Neurospora crassa OR74A: one gene and its partner. The protein of the gene in region 1 binds, or shares a complex with, the protein of each later gene. Links are inferred from orthologs where the notes say so. Each region holds a gene or a part of one and is shown on either strand. Other genes may lie near its edges. The genes, in order: NCU08024 and NCU03055.

Evidence for each region.
Region 2: NCU08024 (region 1) and NCU03055 share a complex: the UniProt entries of both Saccharomyces cerevisiae proteins name them as parts of the M-Pol II complex. The link is inferred for Neurospora crassa OR74A from reciprocal best matches to the Saccharomyces cerevisiae genes ANP1 and MNN10.

Annotation. Positions count from the first base shown.
Region 1 is NC_026504.1:3,953,163-3,957,652, forward strand, and holds NCU08024 (mannan polymerase II complex ANP1 subunit), read right to left. Parts: upstream 3,001-4,490; 5' UTR 2,670-3,000; coding exon 2,560-2,669; intron 2,475-2,559; coding exon 1,804-2,474; intron 1,741-1,803; coding exon 1,421-1,740; intron 1,365-1,420; coding exon 1,269-1,364; intron 1,214-1,268; coding exon 965-1,213; 3' UTR 557-964; downstream 1-556. UniProt on the Saccharomyces cerevisiae protein: Involved in the organization of the secretory pathway. Required to maintain a functional Golgi apparatus.
Region 2 is NC_026501.1:4,355,844-4,360,382, forward strand, and holds the start of NCU03055 (alpha-1,6-mannosyltransferase subunit), read left to right. Parts: upstream 1-1,539; 5' UTR 1,540-2,571; intron 2,572-2,734; 5' UTR 2,735-2,751; coding exon 2,752-3,169; intron 3,170-3,229; coding exon 3,230-3,518; intron 3,519-3,573; coding exon 3,574-4,237; 3' UTR 4,238-4,539. UniProt on the Saccharomyces cerevisiae protein: Required for polarized growth and efficient budding. The M-Pol II complex possesses alpha-1,6-mannosyltransferase activity and is probably involved in the elongation of the mannan backbone of N-linked glycans on cell wall and periplasmic proteins.

The DNA of each region.
Region 1 (4,490 bases):
GACAGGTGGACGGTGGCCAAGAACTAAGGTACCTCTAGCGCAGGTAGTAACAAATGTCCTTTGGAGATCCAGTACTATGTACACCTACCTATCAGTGGCCGCCGCGGCTGACAACTAATACTACGCCAAGTTACCTACCTATTATACCTCTGTGTACACTAGACTAGTCTGATGTATAGAAGGGATGTACCTCGCCAACGGCAGTGCTCTTGTGACAACACGGAGGGTTTTGAGTCTTGCTCCTGTCCTTTTTTGTTTTTCGTTTTTTTCTCTTCAAGAACAGATATCGCTAATCACAAACTTGTATGCATGTGCTTACCTATGCAAATTTTAGGGGGAGCACATTTGGAGGTCGACGTACCTCCCGAGACGCAGTCTGATGTCAAAGGCACCGGGCAGCCGGCGTGTCTCCATTCGCGGCCTGGGCCCGAAGCCAAATAGCAACTACCACCGGGTAGCCAATCGAGAGACATCCGGCCGCTACGCTCAGACAACAGGATGAAGCGACCAGAGAGGCGTCAGTATTGTGCACTCAACCCATTTGTGGTCGCTGTAGCAGACTGCAAAGCAAAAAAGACATTTCCCGGAACGCCTCTGCTATGATTTTTTTTGAACTCGTTGGCCGCGAAACGCTTCTAGTATACATGATCTTAGATTACCCTCCATAAGATTTTGTCTTTCCGGTCCGTTCCTGACATGAGGTGAATGCGGTGTGAACCGTCGCCAATTACATATCCCTGATATCTGACCCTCCCTCTCCAACTGCCCATTGTACATAATAGGTAGATGTATAAGCGGGCGGCTTCACAAGTGCCTCCCACCCATTTTTCTTTGGTATGCGTCCACTTGGCGAAACACAACGTTAAACCAGAGATGAGGATGCAGAAATATAGCGAAAGAGGCAGTATTAAAAAGATAGAAGAAAATATAGAAAAAAAAAACCGAGTGGACACTCGAGCACAGCTCACTGAGTGCCCTCCTTCTTCTCCTCCTTGGGAGCAGCATTGGCTGGTCCGTCAGCCGGTCCGCCTTGTTGTCCTGCTGCTGGTTGCTCTTCCGCCTTCTTGTTCTCCTGCATGGCGAGGTTTTGTATTTCGTTCTTGTCCTTCTCCCATTGGCCAGTGGCGTCGCCAAAAGACTCCTTCATCTTCTGCTCCTTCATCGCTTTCTCCTTTTCCTCCTTCTCGCGAGCGAGTCTCTCCTGCTCCATTTGCTGCCGACTGTTAGGGACCTGTCAAACTTGCATAACCAGATGCGTGATTGCTTACCTCCATGTGCTTAATATCGTCTACACTAGGCTCGTACAAATGCCAGATAGTATAATGAGGAAGGCCAACAACTGAGAAGCCCATCCTTCTCGACATCTGTTACCATAGCGGTTAGACGGATCCAAAGACGCGGGAAGGCCTGACGAGCTTACCTTTCCAAAAGCTTCTGTCTCGGCATGTTTTTCGAAGCTGAACGCCGGGAAGTGGACGCCGTAACGGAAAACCTTGGCCTTTGCCAGAATACTCACTCCACCAACGCCATCGATCTCCATTTCCATGTCGGGATCGCCATAGGGGTCCCGGAGATATGCGAGATGGGGACGCCAGGTAGCATATTCTGCGTATCCCTCCACGATAACTGCATCTTCGTCGAGAGTATCCGCGAGTGCGAGGGCGGTTTCGGACTCGGCCCAGGAGTTAAGGTCGTAGGGCTGTTCTCCGCCCAGCCAGTCAGGTAGCGGACGCCAAACATCTAAAGTCCGGTTAGCATTTCCAGTTATCCTTTCAATATCAGCTAAGGGTTCAGGAGGCTTACTTGGCACAATCACATCCTTGTTGTGGCGCATCAGATCTTCCAAGATCGTGGTAGGCGCCGTCTCCACGTCGACATCACGCCAGTAGACCCACGAATGATACGGCCGAAGGGCGGCGCTAAGGAGCCAATTTCTAGCTTGGGCCATGAGCTTTCTTCTGCTCGCCTGCGCGGCGAAACCGTGGCGGCTTTCCACATCCTGATTAACTTTTTGTCCAAAGTCTTTCTCGATGATGGAGATTTCGCCAAAGTGCTTGGACGGGTCGGTGCTAGCTTGAATAGCCGTAAGCTCGCGTTCAAGAACCGCCAAGGTGTTGTCTTTCGAGTCCGAAACAAGGAAAGCGAGATCGATCAGATGGTGAGGATACGTCAGGTTGAGGAGGTGACCGAAGAACATGGGCATATGCACTTCGGCATCGCGCAGCGGCACGCAGATCAAAATTCGCTCCTCTCTCTCCCATCCTTTCGCGGTGCCCTGCACGTTAGACAGGTCGTAGTATCGCACCGTCTCGAGTTGGAAATCTTCAGAACCGGAGCCAAGCCAGGAGAAAGACCCCGAATCGCCGGGCCAAACGAACAGCCCAAAGAGAAGTAATGATACCAGCGCTATTGCCAATCGCAGGAATAGTCCCTTCCGTCTTCGAAATGGTGGTGCCGCGCCTCGAGGTTGGAACCTGTGGAATGATAGGAGGCCGCTCCCGTCAGCTTCCAACGTTCGTTTCGTTCGCCTGGTGATTCAGGGGGCGGGGGGCACTTTACCTGTGAGGAGAAATCTCAAAGGTGTTTCCTCGCGGGTACCCATTGGAATATCCGCTCGCATGGTGTCGAGGGACCGCCTTGGACCCGGAGGAAGATGCGTACGGCAGCATTGGGCTGTTTGGTGATAGATGGTCGCTGCAGGGGCGGCCAATATTATCGAGCACCTCAACCCCCCTTTGCGCACACGCAGGGTACCTGAGTCCTGCGAACCGGAAATGCTAACAGATGCTGCAGACTGGGCGGTCTCTCGCTGGATGTTCTCGACGCACGCGCTGCCGAAACTGTGTCGAAATGATAGAGAAGGGACCAGGCCGGTTCAGGATCAATGCATCGCGGTCAGAGAGAAGTTTGGGCGGAAGATCAAGACGATCGCGTTCCTGTAGCACCGAGTCGTTTGATAAAAAGCTGAGGTGTTCGCACCGGGCTGTGGGCAGCTTGACGGATCGATACACGTACTAAGTACCAGTCCAGATAAGATTGGCGGGTTGGGATGGATTTCTTTACCAATGGCGTCGCAAAGTGGCCCGGCCGTTCGACGGGGTCCTGCCAATTGTAGCGCATTTTGCACCCACCCACAAATGACCCCAGACTTGACGCCTTGGTTTCAGGGGTTCTAGTGCAGTGTACAGGATTTAAAGTCGCCAAGGACAAGGCTCCAGAATTGACGGCAAAGTCGACCTGAAACAGTGGCAATGCAAGTACCGTCGAGTCTGTGCCGTAGTTATCATCTGTGTGCAATACAGATGGGTACATCAGGGTGTGTCTTCAATTTATTTGATGTTCAACCTCGAGACACAGATGATTTGAAGGGAAACCGGGCTTACGTCGCGGCAAGTGTCCGGTCATTCGTTCTACTGGGTTTGGACTTCTCCTGCACATCATCAAGGGCAATATCTTGGGTCTGATTGGAGATAATCAACTATTTTGCAACTCTTGTTTTCATTGTTCTATCCTTGCTGATATCTTGAAGCCCTATGTAAATGTCAAGGACAGGCACACCGTCGATCCTCAACTACATCCAATTTTACTGGGGTCATTGAGTTGTCGAGTCATGAACACAAACCTTACCTCGTCAAAGATGCGTTGCAACAAAACGTATGAAACGTTCACGCCATCAACTACTGACCGGTCAGTTCAAGGTCATACGCGAATCGGCATCGAGCAGAAGGCGAAGACGACACAGATCAGACAAGCCGTTTTAACTCAGCCCTACAAAGCCGGCCCAAGCCTCCCACGCCCCAAAACGGTGCGCAGGAGACTCGGACAACGGAAGCCAAATGACACCCCGAAGGGAGACACCACAACTAGTCCTCACGCCCCGAAAGACGCTCCAGTGCGGATGGATGGCTCGGCCCGTACATATCGTTGAATGGATAGACTGTTGTCATCATTGTGCATGGGACAAAGGAAAAAAAAAAAAGGCAAAGTACCTACCAGATGGGCATGTCGACTCTCCCACTAGACGCAAGATCGTTTTCAGATCCTATATAACTTGAAGTTTGTTAGCCAACTTGCTCGCAGCATGTGTGGTGAGGGCTGTCGTTGCAAGAAAGAGTTGGGGTGATTGCCATATCAGAAGGTTTTGGTATAATTGGTTATCGCTCATTATTATTCAGAAGCAGAACTGAAAATATTTTGTTTCATCATGGACAATCGGGTGGGTGATGATGTCAGGTGGGGGAAAGAAAACAGAAAGGAAAACAATGTGATGCTTACCTAGTGGGTAGAGACTGAGAAAACGGAGTGGAACAGCAACGGTGACAATAACAACTTTGTCTGTACTATTGATTGTCAGTCAACGGTTCCTCCAAATGAGTTGCAAGTGAAGGATGTGTTGAAGGAGTAGTCAGATGGTAGTGCATGTTTGTTCGATCGCTCAGAGATTATCGCGAGAACTGTGGTTATGGGATCATCATGAGATGTGAAAGGCA
Region 2 (4,539 bases), on another chromosome or scaffold:
GCTCCAGCGTCCTCTCATTCAAGACCAGGACACCTGGGGTGGTCAAGAAAAGGAGGATCGTCAGGAATCACTCCGCCAGTTGATCCAGTTTATCGTGGGGCCCCTACGAGAGTACGTCTAGTTGGTCTGCCATCTCCGTTGATAATGCTAAAAGTTTAGTAGCCGATGGTAGGTTACCAGCGATGTTCTGCTACACGCCACCACAGTGAACCATTAAAGGTTCATGGGTACCGTAGCCATCCTCGATATGAGTTGACATCTGGAGGTCGAGATGCCATTTCTGCCATAGGTTACCACCTATCATCCAGAAAATGTATCGTCATTAGCATCATCTTAGGTAGGGATCGAGATGGCGTGCCGTGGGGTACCCCATAGTCGTTCATTAAGTGCAGACCCCCATGACCTCTATCTCCGTTGAGGACCAGGTTTGAGCGGGTGCTAGAATGGTGAAACAACGGAGGGGAGACAAGGAGATTTGACCCCCTTTAAATTGCGAACATCACCACATCACCCGCAACATTATTCGGCTCTGGCTTAGACAAGGGGCAAAAGAATCGCCCAGTTCGCCCAGCGAACCAACTCCGCGTCAGTCTTCCGTAGCGCCGGATCAGAGCCAAGAGATAACCATCTCAAGCAGGGGGGGTTGGTCAATTAGCTTTCTGTTGCGCAATCGGCCGAAGACTGCAAGCCAAAACATGTTTGTACTTTGTCCCACATCCGGTAATTTTTCTGTAACTAGTGCCCTTGGCCGGGCTGAGAGGGGGATTTTGAAAGAAAAAAAAAATCAGTCAGCAAAACGGTTTCGGGAGAAGTTGAAGGTCTCCCTCAAATTCCCCAAGTTGCTGCCCCCAAGCGCTTGATGAGTTGGATTGGAACGTTGTCATTAGCTCCTGCGTTCTGTTGCAGAGCCGTCAGGTACACTACCTACAGTACAGCCCCAGGATTGTCGAGGAAGAAAAAAAAAAAAAAGCCGAGAGTTGAAGGGGTCCAATGCCCAATGCGCTTGTACTGCCCGCCGGTACCGTGAAGGCTGCAAGGCACCCAACGAAAGCAGGTCAAGTCCACGCCCGACATCCCTGTTCAACATTAGCGTCTGCTCCCCCTTTCCATGCTTTGAAAAATTTAAGTCTAAAGACGGTGAAGGCATTCAGGAAAAGGATTGGGCCTTCCGCGAGCCGTTATCAGAACGTGTTAAGGATTCCCGCTCTAGGTGAAATTGCATGCCATCACCGTCCAGGTGTCGCAATTAGTCGCAACCACCCTGGACCGTAGTGTACTGTGTACCTAGACTCCAAGAAATAGACAGGGGTCGCAGTGAACAGGCCCTGGGTGGTGCCCTGCATGTGTCGGGGCAATCTTGGCGTGGGTAGCTGTTGAAAAGTTGGCCGCTAAAACAGAGAAAAAAAATGTTGTTGACGGAGAAAGCCCCTAGAATATCTGGGGACGGCCGGGGGGTCGCGATGAATTTGGGGAGGATGGAAGGTTTAAACACGCTTGTCCACGCTGGCCATTTAGTGGACGGGCAGGGCTGTTCTTCATCTGAAAGTGATTTTTAGCCCACGGTCACTGGAATTTTTCCATAGCTGAAACGGTCAAGAGATTCACTCTCCTAGTGAAACAATCTGCGTTGAGTTGTCTCTGAAGATCTCGTTTGTTACCTCTTCTTCCCGTCCACCAAGACACCGACGCATAATCCAAGCAACCGTTAGGTAATCGAGCGCGGCGAGCGATCCACTGAACGACATCTGCCCGGCATACAGCCGAAGGGAATCCGGGCATCTTCAAGCAACAGCTGCCCGGCTGGGTTCAAGGTTGGCATATCGTGTCCAGGTGCCGCTTCTGCAGCACCCGCCTACCATCCAGAGCCACCACAGGCGCCGGGTCTCTTCCTCCAACAGCAGCCTGCGCGCCCTGCACCCCAACCCGAAACTCGGACGTCTCCAAGACACACCGGGTCCTTGGTCCCCTTTGTCCCATCCCCATCCGTCCACATCCCCTTCTTGGACGACCAGATCCTCTCGGTTGTACCGCACGAGCACATTCAGTATTCGACAGTACACGCAGTCTGCCTTCTTTGGGTAGAGCCTAACTACCACGGACACCCATCCGACCGTACGCAGCGCAGCCACCAAGGCCAGCCAGCCCACCGTAACCACCAACCGCTACGTACCGACGTACCGTATCTCGAGTCAGGCGGCCCTCCGTTGCAACGTGGATTCAGCCGTCACTTTGTCAGTCCGTCCGTCAGCCTCTGGCTTGGGCCCTTGAGCCTCCACGGCAAGGAAGCCCAGCTACCCCCCTACACCCCTGCGCGATATCACCAGAGGGCCCATAGTGCCACCTGGTGAAGTCGCAAATCCGCAAAGCTGGCGACCCTTTCCCCCAACGGCAACGGGACCTCGTCCTCCTACAGCGACCCTCCGGCCCGCTCCCATCACCGAAGACGGTCGTCCGCCGTTAACCCTCCCAGCGAACTCCGATTGGACAATCGCCGATCTCCCTCGGGCCTCCTCCTTGGGGTTGAGCCCCATCACGGCAACTACGACCCCAACAGCCTCTCGCCCATCCCGGGTACGTGTTCTTCCCCTGTTGTCTTTTTGCCCTGTCCCACGCCCGTGACTGCCACCAGCGGTCTCACGGCCGCCGTCTCACTTTCACCCGTCTGGCCGCTGGGCACTTGTCCGATGTCATCCGCGTGTTACTGACTGTCGCTTGGTCCTTCCGTCTGCTCTAGGCACCCCGATCACTGCAATGTCGCTGTCCCGCAGTCCTTCTCCCGTTCCCGGTGGTGGCTGGGCAAGTCCAGGCCTTACAAACAACCTCAGCCCGAGCGGTCGATCGAGTCCTACCAAGGCCTACGCCGGATCCAACGGGACGCCCGTCATGTGGGAAAGGCAAAAAAACATGGGCGGCGCCGCATACCAGTCCTTCTCGACACAGAACCAGGGCTTCTTTAGCCGCCACATGCGTCGGATATCAAGTTCGCTGCCCCGATTCAAGGCCGACAACACCCATGGCGCCGAGAGAGAGAAGATTGGCCAAGGTCGATGGAACATGCCACGACTCGGCAGGATACGAGGCATCACGGGGAGGATGAGCAGGAGGACCAAGATGCTGCTAGCCTTTGCCCTCTTGTTCCTGCTCGGATACATCATCTTTTACAGCACTCGTGAGTCTTTGCAACCCCCCACCTTGGATCGATCATACAGTGACCTGACACCCTGGAAAGCTCTGGTTTACTACTACCGAAGAACATCATGGCTTGGTGGGGGTCAAAAGTTTGTCATCATTCTAGCTGCCAACGTTGGCGGTGGTGTCATGGAGTGGAAGGGCGCCAGGGAATGGGCAATCGAGAGGGACTCGATTCGCAACAAGAAGAAATACGTTGCCAAGTGGGGATACGATCTCGAGATTGTCGACATGAGCACAAAGAAACGCTATGCGCATGAATGGCGCGAGAGCTGGGAAAAGGTTGATTTCATCCGCTCCACTCTGCGAAAGTATCCCAAGGCAGAATGGTAAGTTCCCACTCTGTCGCTTCCTGGATGTGATCCGTGGCTGATTTTCTCCCAGGGTTTGGTGGCTTGACCTCAACACCTTCATTATGGAGCCATCGAAGTCTCTGCAGGACCATATTTTCGACCACATCGAGGATGTCACCTACCGCGACATCAATGAGTACAATCCGTTGAACATCTCTCACCCCCCGGCCGACCCTTACCTCGACGAACTCTCGAAAAGTCCGATTGGAGATGGCAACCCGAACTCGATTCACCTCATGTTGTCGCAGGATTGCTCTGGATTCAATTTGGGTTCCTTCTTCATGCGCCGCGGCACTTGGACGGATCATTTACTTGATGTTTGGTGGGATCCTGTGGCATACGAACAGAAGCACATGGAGTGGGAACACAAGGAGCAAGATGCCTTGGAGCAGCTTTACACTGCGCAACCTTGGATTCGGAAGAGTACGGCCTTCCTTCCGCAGCGCATGATCAACAGTTTCCCTACAGGCGCCTGCTCTGAAAAGGGCACTGATCCGCGCATACATTACGACCAGAAGGATCGGGATTTCCTGGTCAACATGGCCGGATGTGAATGGGGCCGAGACTGCTGGGGTGAGATGTACAACTTCCGCGAGCTGAGCTATCACCTCAACCGGTCGTTGTGGGAACGATTCAAGGAGGACCTCCTTTGCTGGATCTGGTTCAAGTTGACCGGAAAGAAGGTCAAGTTCTAAAACACATCACCTACAGTCTTGAAACCCTGATGCGAACGACACGATACTCACGACGTTTCTATTCGATCGCTCGAAGTTAATGTTGTGTTGAGCCCTCCACGGTACGCCGCCAGCAACTAGAGGCGGTTTGGCCGACAAATGGCGACACTACGTCTATAATCAAGTTACTTTCCATGTTGTCTTTATATAATTCTGTATACCCCAATTTTGTATACGCCTATTACATCAAAATGAGGGATGTTTGAGAAAGGAGGTTCTCTATTTCATTGCTGGAAAAAGAAAATATTCATGATAATGTTTGG